Linked DNA regions of Drosophila melanogaster. Changing the gene in region 1 together with any one later gene gives a genetic interaction. Each region holds a gene or a part of one and is shown on either strand. Other genes may lie near its edges.

Region 1 (6,460 bases):
TCCCACCGTGGCCAGCGTGCTCCTGCTCGGCGTCCTCTCATCACCAGCGGTGGTGGTGGATTCTCCTGCCGTCTCATTGGATTGTCCAACGTCCTCTGGTGCCGTTCTTGTGTGGTCCTCAGATTGAGCCTGCTTGGCACCTATGTCGTAGATCTCGATGAACTGTTCAGCACTGCTGATGGCTATGCGGTTGTTCCCGATAAGGCTGGCCGCCAGGATGTCACCGTTGAGGGCATACGTCTGCTGCCTGGCAAAGTTGTAGGCCTGCAGGATCTTCACCATGGTGGCTCTCTACAAAAAAGACGATGAATTCTTTTTTTACGGCACTCTAGAATTACAAACTAAGCCCTCAGCTTAGTGGAGTGACTTCATCGCCGGACGTACACAGACTGATGGCCTCACCGTGAATCAGCCACTAGAGCAGGGAGTTCTCTGACTGAGCGTGGGACAGAGAAAGGGAGAAGTCCGAGTGACAGTGGATTGGCGGACCGCTTAGCGGGGCTCAAGTGGTTCTTATTTGGGCATGTGAACCATTAGCATAATTGTGCGCTTATACTGGGGTTAGGGATCGGAAGAGTGGATGTGCCGATGAGGCCTAAGGCTAGCGCATATGGGCAAGCTAGGCTAGGATAGGGCAGTTAAAAAGTGAAGCACTTAAATTTAATAAGAGTTAGCCGCAGAATATTTCGGGATTGTAGATAAAGTCGCGATCAAAATTAAATCTTTAATCGGTAAAAATTTTGTTAATCTACGATATATGTATGTATACTATCTGGAGTCACAAAAAGTAGGGAAGCAAATAAAACTGTGATAAATACATTTTAAATTGAAAATCCAAAAATATCACTCGCAGTACACCTTTTTCATTCACCATCCGTCTTTCAGAATCATAGATATGCAATCGAACTTTTGAACACCTTTTTTAAAAGAGAGAGTGGTACATTTGGTAAAACAAGAACCCGTCCCAACGTCGTGCGGCATCAAGTATTCCAATAGGTCAGTGCTGCACCTTTACTTCAGGTGGAAGTCCTGCGTTGTTGTATTGTACGCTTTGACCATAGAGTAAACAGACAGGAAATTAGGTCACGATAGTATACAAAAACACGCCCTTCCTGATTTCCGCCGCCCACCACCACCGGCATTCTATGAGGCGATTAAAGTGGGCCCGGTATCCCAACCCCGATTCCGAGTAGCTATACGTGAGTTAGCCCAATTAAGCCATTGGACATTCGCTGGACATACCACTCGGCGCATCAATCAAAACAGCCGGCCAGGAGGCGGACACGGAAGTGGCATAGCCGGAAATAGACAAGGATTGAGATTTATTTCTGGTCGCTCGGTCAAATCAATAATTCCCGCGTAATCCGTGCGTTAACCCAAATGAACTTGGGAAATGGAGAAGCCAGAACATGCAAATGTGTGTTACGGCGGGGAATGGGGTCACTAAGAGATGTGTGTGCGTTTTCAGTTGCATTTTGGCAGCGGCTTATATGGAAAAATCAATATCTAAGCATTTTGTTAGAAGGTGCCGCTGGAAACTTGGCAAATAATTTACTCTTTGGCAATGTCTTACGTTTAAACTCGTTTTATTATTCCATACAGAAAAACAGAAGACAGGGTTTAAGGATTTCTGAAATGCATTCTTCTTCGGCGTAGATGTTCCGACAATATATGTTACTTATTATTAGGTGGTAGTTATGCCACGTAAATATAACTCCCAGGACTCCCCGGACTGCACATAATATTTACTCGCGTTTGTTTATATTATTTCCGAGTGAGAAACGACAAACTATAAAATATCCAATATAGTGTGACCAGGTTTTGCTCTAATGCGAAGTACGGATTGGGTAGAGATAAGTATTTTTCAAACTACGCTAGACTACAAAGCATCGATACAAGGGTACGTTATTTAATACTCTCTAATTTTGAATTTCTAAATAGCTTAGTAATAAGAGAGTCTTTAAAAGTATAAAGCTCCACTACTATCGAAAATATGTTTTCAACAAAATTCTTTACTTTTACTTTAAGGAATATCTAACTAAGAAATGATTTATATCGAAGATATAACACAACTGCTTTGATATGTGTTAAAGAGCATATTTTTATTATTATTATTCCGAATTCTTTTATCAGATTTAAATATGGGAAACACTTTAATGTATTCAGTATTCAAAAATGCATCGGTATTTTAAGAAGTCCCCGCCACGGCCACACTCCTGGCGCGCAGTGAAATTCGCGCAATAATACGAAATGAAATCATGTCCAGCGCACGCAGCCATGTCAGCATGCAGAACAAGTACGACCGCGTGGTCCTGCTGGTGGACATGGACTGCTTCTTTTGCCAGGTGGAGGAGAAGCAGCATCCGGAATACCGCAACCGCCCGCTGGCCGTCGTCCAGTACAATCCCTGGCGAGGTGGCGGCATCATAGCAGTGAACTACGCCGCTCGTGCCAAGGGAGTCACTCGCCACATGCGCGGCGACGAGGCGAAGGACCTGTGTCCGGAGATCGTGCTCTGCCAGGTGCCGAATATCCGGGAGAAGGCCGATACTAGCAAGTACCGCGATGCCGGCAAGGAGGTGGCCAACGTGCTGCAGCGATTTACGCAGCTCCTGGAGCGCGCTTCCGTGGATGAGGCGTACTTGGACATAACGGAGACCGTTAACCATCGCATGCAGCAGATGCAGAGTGTAAGCTCTGGCACATAATTTTAAAGCGTTTTATTATTATTTTCCTCGTTGCAGGGAGCCTTTGCATTGCAACCGCAGGAACTGGTGAACACCTTTGCTGTGGGCTATCCCAGCATTGGCGACTACGTCAACAAGATAACAAATCGCTTCGCCAATCCCTACATGGACGACGAACGCTACCAGATGTCCTACGACCAAAACGACCTTCCCGCCGTCCGACAAAGCGACATTCGGCTTCTTATTGGAGCCTCTGTGGCAGGTGAAGTCCGCGCGGCTGTAAAAAAAGAGACAGGCTACGAGTGCTCGGCTGGCATAGCGCACAATAAGATCCTGGCCAAGTTGGCAGCTGGAATGAACAAGCCCAACAAGCAGACTATTTTGCCGTTGACGGAGACCGCCAGCCTCTTCGACTCCTTGCCTGTTGGCAAGATCAAGGGGCTGGGTGGCAAATTCGGTGAGGTGGTGTGTGAGACATTAGGCATAAAGTTCATGGGCCAGGTGGTCAAGTTTTCGGAGGTAGATCTGCAGCGCAAGTTTGACGAGAAGAATGGGTGGGTCCCTTAAGAGGAGTAGACCACGTTCAAAGTAACTTATTTCCTCTTATTCCAGAACCTGGCTATTTAACATCTCTCGCGGCATAGACCTGGAAGCCGTGACTCCCCGCTTCTATTCGAAAAGCATTGGCTGCTGTAAAAAGTTTCCGGGTCGAAATAACATTACGGGGTTGAAAACCCTTCAACATTGGCTTGGTGAGCTTTCCTCCGAGATCAACGACCGCCTTGAGAAGGACTTCATCGAGAACAATCGCAGGGCCAAACATATGGTGGTGCAATATGTGCAGGACATTGACGGCGAGGAGGTGGCCAGCTCCCGCTCGACTGCTCTCAGAGATTACGACCAGGAGTCCATCGTAAGGCTTTCTCTAGACCTAATCAAGGCAAACACTAAAACGTTTCTGCGTCCTGGTAGCGAGTCTGCTTTAAACAATGCTATCAAGTTCCTTGGCATTAGTGTTGGCAAGTTCGAAACCGTCTCTAGTGGGCAAAACAAGCTGCAGGAGATGTTTGCTAACCAGGCTGCCAAGAAACGAAGGGTAAGTGGAGATGAGCCAGGGCAACTGCCTAAAGTTGAAATGGAGAAAAAGCAGAAGCAAACGGACGAATTTAAGATGAAGAGCTTCTTTGCAAACTATTTGCAAGGAGCTAAAAAAGAGGATGCGAAAGCAGACGGCATTTCTGCGAATCCCTTGGCTGCTGCAGCAGGTGCTCCAAACAAGAATTTCGTAGAGGAATACAAACATAAGCTTCATGCGGCCGTAAGGACTGAAGGAACTGTTCTCACATCAACACCAGCGGAGTTCAAGGAAAGCTTTTTTTCACAGTACCTAAAACAACAAAAAAAGACAGGACAGCAAGGGTCGGTTACATCGAGGGAGGACTCCTTAGATGTGCAGGAGCTGGCCGAGGAATTGGACGCCATTGAGGCTGACAATTCGAAAGATTTTGAAGAAGACACTGAAGAGGAGACGGAGTTAACTAGTGATACCCACATGTCTAAGCCTGAAGGACAGTCATCCGATGCCGGACAAGAACAGGATCCAAACACCTTGAATGATTCAACAGGGAATGACTTATACGTTGAAACTGGTATTGTGCCTCCCACGCTTACTGAAGACGAATTGAAGCCTTCAACATCAAAAAGAAAGTTCGATGAGATCGAAAGTTCTGTAAGTAATTACAAGGAGTGTTACGTAGAGTTTGCAGTACCCAACCTTCGCACCGATATCTTGCCTACTATCAAATGCGATCAGTGCGGAGCAAACATTCCCGACGAAGTTAAGTCCCTACAAACACATAGAGACCATCACTTCGCCCAGGAACTAAGCCGAACGCTAAGAAGCACCGAGCGGGAAGAGAGGACGCAGAGCCGACAGAAGATATCTCTTAAGCCGACGCCACCCAAAAAGAGCAAGAAGACGGCTGGTTCTGGTAGCAGTTCCTACAGTACGGCACCACCGAGTAACAGCATAACCAAGTTCTTCCGCGCCAAACCAACTCAGGAGCAAGCGCCCAGTGATCCACAGATGAATCAGTGCCCCGAGTGTAAGGCTTTCATCAAGTGTGTAGACATGCCGGAACACTTAGACTACCACGTAGCCAGAAACCTTCAACGTGAACTAAACCAGCAGGATCTGCGAACTCGAACCGCAGCTCTGAATAAAGAAAAAATATCTCCAGTTCAGCCAAAGAAACAATCTCAGAAGAAACTGAACTCAACCATTTCTGCATCTTCAAGCGGAACAAAGACAATTGCCCAGTTTTTCAGCCAAAGCAATTAGAGAAACCCTTACACCGCTCCAAGTATTTGAACCTGTATAAGTACCTACGAATGGACCACAGACAAATTTACTTCACTTTAAGATTAAAACATTTTCACATTCAATTCCAAATTAAAAAACAATAATAATTTTTTGCTAGCACATATCCTAGTTATTAAAATCTCAATCTGGCTCTGGACAGCAAATTGATTAGGATTGTTTATTTCTTTTTTTTACTGCTGTTTATTATTTTTTTTTTCAAATCGAGTAATGAAACTCTTAGATTTAATTTTTTTTGTTTTATTTTTCCAATTTTAGGCTTAAGTATTAATGTTGATCATTACCATTACCATCCATCCGTTAATTAATAAAACACAACGCTCTGTCAATGCTAAATATTTTATATGTATAGTATGGTTTGTTCTTAGCGTTATAACACATTTGAAGAGAAATGTATTTGTCTTTGTATTTGCAGGCTGCCTTAAAATAAGATTACGTTAGAACTACTGCGCTTGAGTGGCCGTGACGACTAGATCAAGATCCTTGCTCTTCGATTGCTTCTTGACGCCTATGGCGTCCGCTTCCTGCACTGTTGTAGGTAAAACTACGTTGGTGGTCTCTGGAAAGAACAGCGTGAGCAGGCCGCTCACGATGGCGGCGCCGGCGAAGAGCATGGCAGGAGCATTGGCATAATACTTGGCCTGTGGAGAAAGGGAAAGGAAGCACTTAGATATAACAGGAGATCCTTGTAGCTTTGAGCACCCACCAGAAGAGGCGTCTGCGGGGCCAGCATGGAACCAAACCTGCCCATCATGGAGCAGAAGCTAAGCAGACTGTTTCTCAGATTCGTGGGATAGATCTCTGAGGCGAAGAAATAGAGCACCTGGAAGCTGGCAGTGATGGTCAGTTTGCCAACAAGAAATAGCACCAATTGAAGCACTGGCTGATCCGCGCCGGTGAATATCGTTCCGATGCAGCAAAGACCGCTGGCTAGCATCAGCCCGCAGAGGGAGTACCGCCGGCCGAAACGGTCCATGATGAGCAGGGGCATGAAGAAGCCTGGAATCTCAACCAGGGCGATGTAAGCGAAGTTATTGTACTTGTCTCCATCCAACAGCACAACATTAAGGCTCAATCCGTAGTAGACCAGCACGTGGACAATCCAGCAGAGGGAGCAGTTAGCAATGCGCCACTTGAAGTTCTTGAAAGCCTCTCGTATGGGGAAACGGCTTTCCGACGACTGCTGCAACTTGTCCCGATTGGCCAGCACAAGCTTGTCCAGCACGCTCTCCGGCAGCTCGCGCTTGTTCACATGGGCGGCTCGCCGAAGGATATTCTTGGCCCGCTCCTCCTTGCCCTGACTAAGCAGCCAGCGCACACTCTCCGGCAGGATCCAAAAGTAGGCCAGCAAGATCAGCGAGGGCCCGTACGTGATGCGCAGTAGGATCCGCCA
Region 2 (5,202 bases), on another chromosome or scaffold:
TTTGTCTCCAAAATCTTGAGCATGGCGCTGCGCACCTTCGTCTCTTTCATGGCCAGTGCGTCGAAATTTCTCGATGAGAAGAGCAGGGCGAACTTTAGCGCCGTATCACCATCGCTAAGCGCCTTGTCGTTCAGGTACTCCATTGACTCACTGAAAATTGCAAATACAATTAGTTTATTTACTTTTCATTTATTAGTATGTTATAATAATCAAGTCTACTACTACTTCATAATGTTAAAGTTTGCACTACAACTGTGTTTAACACCCCCACTGATATAACGCATAGCAGCATTGTTTGATAAGCCCAAGCTGCGAACTATTTGTTCAGCAATTAACTCGAGCATGAGCCTGAGAGAATCGGAGGGAAAAATGTTCACTTTGAAATGATTCGATGGCGCCGATGTCTCTCTGCCCGTCTTTATTTGTATGAAAAGTTGTAAATTTTCAAGACACGCTGACGTTCGAGCAACCTGGTCGCAAACAACGAACTCGTGCACGAACACATATACACAAATACAGTGCTTTTCAGATTTATAAATCGATTTTTAGACATTTAATAAAATTGAAATGTATATGTAGAAGGTCGCAAAAACTTTTTCGAACCTAAAAATAATGAAGTAAGAAGAAAAGTTTACAAAGTTGCACTTTAAGAACCCAAGGGTTCTTGAACGCGTAAAAACAAATTAACGTTTGAACTTGATTAGTAATTCGGTTTCTGCATTTCAAGCATTTCATTATTGGAATAACTTATAGAATGCTGTAACCTATGGGCGAACGCCACAAGCTCCCAAATTTAACGAATTACTCATGCTACTTGTAATGGAATGTCATAAATATTACAATAAGGATCGGTCTTCGCCAGGCAGATATGTACTGCATGCATTAAGTCTTGTTATCACATGGCTGGCTTTGATGGGCTTGGGAGCTCGCCTTGCCCATATGCTATCGCACCGCACTGTACCTACGCCGGGTATTTACATACATCCATATGTATATGCGAAAAGAGGTGGCAAATAAACACACTACTTATGATATGATTAATCATCAATGAGCGAACCAACCAAACGGTAGAGATCGGCACACATACCAAAGCATAGACTCGTCGCGCACTATGTTGCAGAAGTCCGTTTCGATGGTCTTGATCTTGGAGTTCAGCACAATGCCATCGTCCTGCAGATCAAGGTTCCTCATCAGGGCGATGATGTGGTCGTAGGCATAGCCACCTGTTTGATTTTGATAGGCGGCGGGGCCAGTGTTCAGGATGGTACAAACATCCCGGAGGCGCGCTCCCGTTCCCTCACCACCGCCCCCGCTACCGACACCACTGTGCGAACTGTGACCACTGTCCACCGCACTGTTGTTGTAGCTGTTGTTGCCGTAGGAGGTGGTGTTGCTGCTGCCACCGCCGCCACTGTTGCTGCTGCTGACCATGTTGTTGGCCATTTCCATTTCTCGCCGCGATCACTGCCGTTTGTTGTTGTTATCGCACGGTTGTTTGTCTGTCCCTTCCACACACACTTCAGTGTCTGTTATATTGGTACGCGCGTGTGTGTGAGTCGTCGGTCCACCAAATAAGAATCAGCGTTGACAAAGGTGTCGAAATGCGCACGCCAAATGAAACACCTTTTCGCTCAGCTTCCGCTTTGGGTGCAGGTGCAGTTAGCTCACTGGGACCCACGGTCGATTGAAACGCAAATAACGAACGAAATTAAATGCACAAATTTATAACTATTCCTATTTATTATTGCTATTTGACGACTTTTAAAAGAGGTGGAAAAACATCGATGTGTTGTGTTCTTTAAAACATCGATGTTTCTCCACCTCTAGATAGCATTGTCGCGATATCGAAAGCACACGGTGTGCTTTCGTAAATAGCGCCACAGTGCTCCCGCTGTTATCGATAAGACCACCATGGGGCTAAAGTACGGAGCATAAGTAGCTGGATTTAAGATGGATTGGCAGAATAAAATATGAAATTTATATCCACAGTATATCTTAAGAAGTAGGGTTTAAAAAGTATCCACACATACATATCTTTCTAAAATTTAGGATGAATTTTAGTTTCAGTGGCTGAGTAAGCGTATTTGTAAACATTATTTGTTGTTTCGACTTAAGCCAAGTTAGTTAGCAATTAGTTTGTCGTGGAAATATCTATCAGCTAACAGTTATTGTCTACAATCGATTCTTGACAAATACTGGTGTGGTGAATTCCGCTCATTGGAGCATCGTAAAATCGCCATCAGTCAGCTGTGTTTCGTTGGGCGCGCAAACTGTTCGGCGTGCGTTTATTTGTTGTTCTTTTGTAATAACTATTTTTATGTAGTTATTTGTGCCAAAAATGTTGAACTTAAACTGCGTGATATGCGCCGAATTGTTTGGCCAGGCCGACGAGGTTTTTGCCACAGTTTGTGGTCATATGTTCCACCACAACTGTCTAAATCAATGGCTCGATCGGTAAACAACGCATAAGGATATTTCTGATTCCCGACAATAAAATCAAATATCTTTCGCAGATCAAAGACCTGTCCTCAGTGCCGGAATAAGTGCACTACCCGCAACATATTTAGGGTCTATTTCAATCTGGCCAACTTGGATGTGAGCCACATCGATGTTGGTTCACTGCAGGAGCAGCTGGACAATGCGATGTTGTCCATGAAAATGGTCGAAAAAGAGCGCAACAAGGATGAACAGCAGATTCGGGATCTGAAGGAAACACAAAAGAAGTGCCTGTATGCTTTTGTATACACATTGCCTTAAGTACCAGACTGATGCATTTCTCATTTGCAGCAAAACCATAGCCGGTTTGGAGCAGAAGGTGCAAAAGAAGGATTTTCTCATCAGCAGCTATGTCGAGCAAATTGGCGTCCTCAAGAGTGATGCCCATGTCGTTGATGGGTTGCGCAAGGAAAACAAAACATTGAAATCACAGATCCAGAGTATGGAAGGCATATCGGCTATTCTGGCGGCTGGCTCGGCGGATGCCGACCGCTTGCTCAAGAACGAGGCTGATCCACATGTCCTAGCCAACTGGGTGTCCACTCTCAAGAGGGAGTTGCGACAATGCGAGAGCAAAAAGACGGAGCTCAGGAATGTAGTGAAGGTGGTGCAGAATGATCTGCGAAAGGAGATCGAACTAAAGCGGTATGCTCACAACATTCCAAACGTGGTTTTTATAATTGATATGTGCTCATTCGATTGCAGCAAGCTGGAAGAGCGTGTTTCACACCTGGAGAGCGACCTTTACCAGGCGCAGGAGAAGGTTTGCTGAGCCTTCTTTAACACAATTTCGATTAAACATACTATTATCTTTTCAGCTACAAGCTTTTGAGAACAAGACCGCTTACTTGGACTCACCAAATGCCTCTTGTGGTCTGAACAGCAACATTTTGGCCCTTAAAAGGGAGGAAAGGCGTACCACTATTTCCCCTACAGTTGTGAGTAGACACGAATAAACGAAAATATAAGCTACTAATATTTTGCTGCCCTACAGAAGGAGAATATTAAGCGCATCGAAGAATCCACCTCCCCATATCTCAACATTAAATCCAGCAGCGTCGGGTTGGCGCATCTTCTTAATACTAAGGGTAACATTGGGCTGGCCAAGTCTAAAATATCGCCCATCAAGGGAGTCGGTGGCGGTGTGTCTATGACCAGCGGAACCATACGGAAAACCAGCAGTGATCTCAGTGAAAAGGTAAACGCAATAATTTTGCCGAATTCCACTTAACCATTTAAAAATTCCGTATATTCCCCCAGTATTCAATCTTCAAGAAGCCAAGACTGCTGCTGGGAAGTTCAAGTAGTTCTGCGTTGACGGCCACGACGGGCTCAAATTTTGTCTACAATGGAATGGGCGGTTCTGAGAAGGTTGACCCCTTTGCGCAGCGCGCCGAGGAAGAGGGTCTTTCCACAATCAGATCCTCGACCGCCCTTTCCCGGAATGTCAACCAGCGTCTTAAAGCCGGCTCGCTGCGCAACTTTAACCTGGGCAAATAAGTCCACAGCCATGTGATCATAAGAGACTGCCCCAGTTGGGTATTAGCACGCGATTGGTATTGAGGATTGCCGATTTTGTTAGTTAGCCAATGCATGAATTAAGCAATAGTAATAATTTAGCAGTAAATATATAAAAATACAAAAGGCATATGTGTGTGCGATTAGGCGGCAATTTTTTTCTCCGCCGTGCCCGTCCATTCCTCGCGCAAGTGGACACTACAGCCGAGGTCGCGCAACGCCGCCTTGATGTCCTGCTCCACACTGGGGTGCTCCTTCATTGCCATATTTAGTAGATCCTCAACGCCGAAGGAGATCCAGGTTTCACACTGGTTCCGCGACCGTGACACCATATTGCGGATGGCCCACGCTCCGTTTCGCTGGACTATCTTGTGTTTGGGATGGGCGCGAAGAGCCTCCACGATTACTTCGGCGATGCCGGTATCGAAAAAGGCGGCACTGTGTTCCTGCACTCGGAGTGTCAGAGTAGTCACGCAGGCCAAAGCGGCGGCAACGATGTTTTCATTGGACTGGTGCGTCTCTAGCAATTGCTTTATTATAGGAGCCACGCCCTGCTGTACTATATGTGACTTCACGGAGTCTTGGCCAGCCAGGGCACGTAGCAACTTTAAGGCCTCTCTATTTAGACGCACCTCATCCAAATTCGAACTCATGATCTCGAAGACGGACTTCAGTCCACCAGCCTCGTCGATAGCTGTACAGAGTTCCTGACGCACAGCCAGTGTTCCAATGGTCAGCAGAAGATCAGCCAGAACATTAGGATCCTGATAGGCCGGCAAAAGTTCCACCAAGGTGATGAGCACCTCGCCTGCTATTTGGCGGGCGTGCTCGTGGGCGCATCCAAACTCAACGCGAATGTCATCATCCAGCACTAGGAAGCGGAAGACGGCGGTCAGTTCACGCACCAGGCGGTCCTTCCCTTTCCCTAAAAGGGGCTTCATGAGTTTGAGTGCGGAGGTATTCATGATATTCTGGCGGTTCATTTCATGCATGATGCAGGCCTTCTGCAGCCATTGAAGAGTCAACAGGGTGACTTCTTCACTCTCCACTTTGAGGGCCAGTAACTTGAGAACCACGGCCATCGCCTCGGCATCAAACAGATCCGGCTGCTTGTGGGTCAGGCTGTTGATGGCTTCCAAGGACTTTTTTAACACGGATTCGTTGGGTGACTCAGCAGAGAGCGTCTCC

The links.
Region 2: of PolH (region 1) and nopo, changing one suppresses a phenotype caused by changing the other (phenotypic suppression), as found in Drosophila melanogaster (one study listed by BioGRID).

What each region holds. Positions count from the first base shown.
Region 1 is NT_037436.4:21,937,568-21,944,027, reverse strand, and holds PolH (DNA polymerase eta), read left to right. Parts: upstream 1-2,215; 5' UTR 2,216-2,258; coding exon 2,259-2,690; intron 2,691-2,744; coding exon 2,745-3,241; intron 3,242-3,299; coding exon 3,300-5,028; 3' UTR 5,029-5,394; downstream 5,395-6,460. Other genes in the region: CG14562 (uncharacterized protein), read right to left, coding at 1-282; SLC22A family member, read right to left, coding at 5,511-5,708, 5,774-6,460. UniProt on the Drosophila melanogaster protein: DNA polymerase specifically involved in the DNA repair by translesion synthesis (TLS). Plays an important role in translesion synthesis, where the normal high-fidelity DNA polymerases cannot proceed and DNA synthesis stalls.
Region 2 is NT_033778.4:18,178,384-18,183,585, forward strand, and holds nopo (no poles), read left to right. Parts: upstream 1-2,233; 5' UTR 2,234-2,338; coding exon 2,339-2,454; intron 2,455-2,513; coding exon 2,514-2,729; intron 2,730-2,787; coding exon 2,788-3,141; intron 3,142-3,201; coding exon 3,202-3,259; intron 3,260-3,314; coding exon 3,315-3,434; intron 3,435-3,490; coding exon 3,491-3,694; intron 3,695-3,756; coding exon 3,757-3,996; 3' UTR 3,997-4,136; downstream 4,137-5,202. Other genes in the region: CG5726 (uncharacterized protein), read right to left, coding at 1-150, 1,088-1,449; CG5721 (uncharacterized protein), read right to left, coding at 4,158-5,202.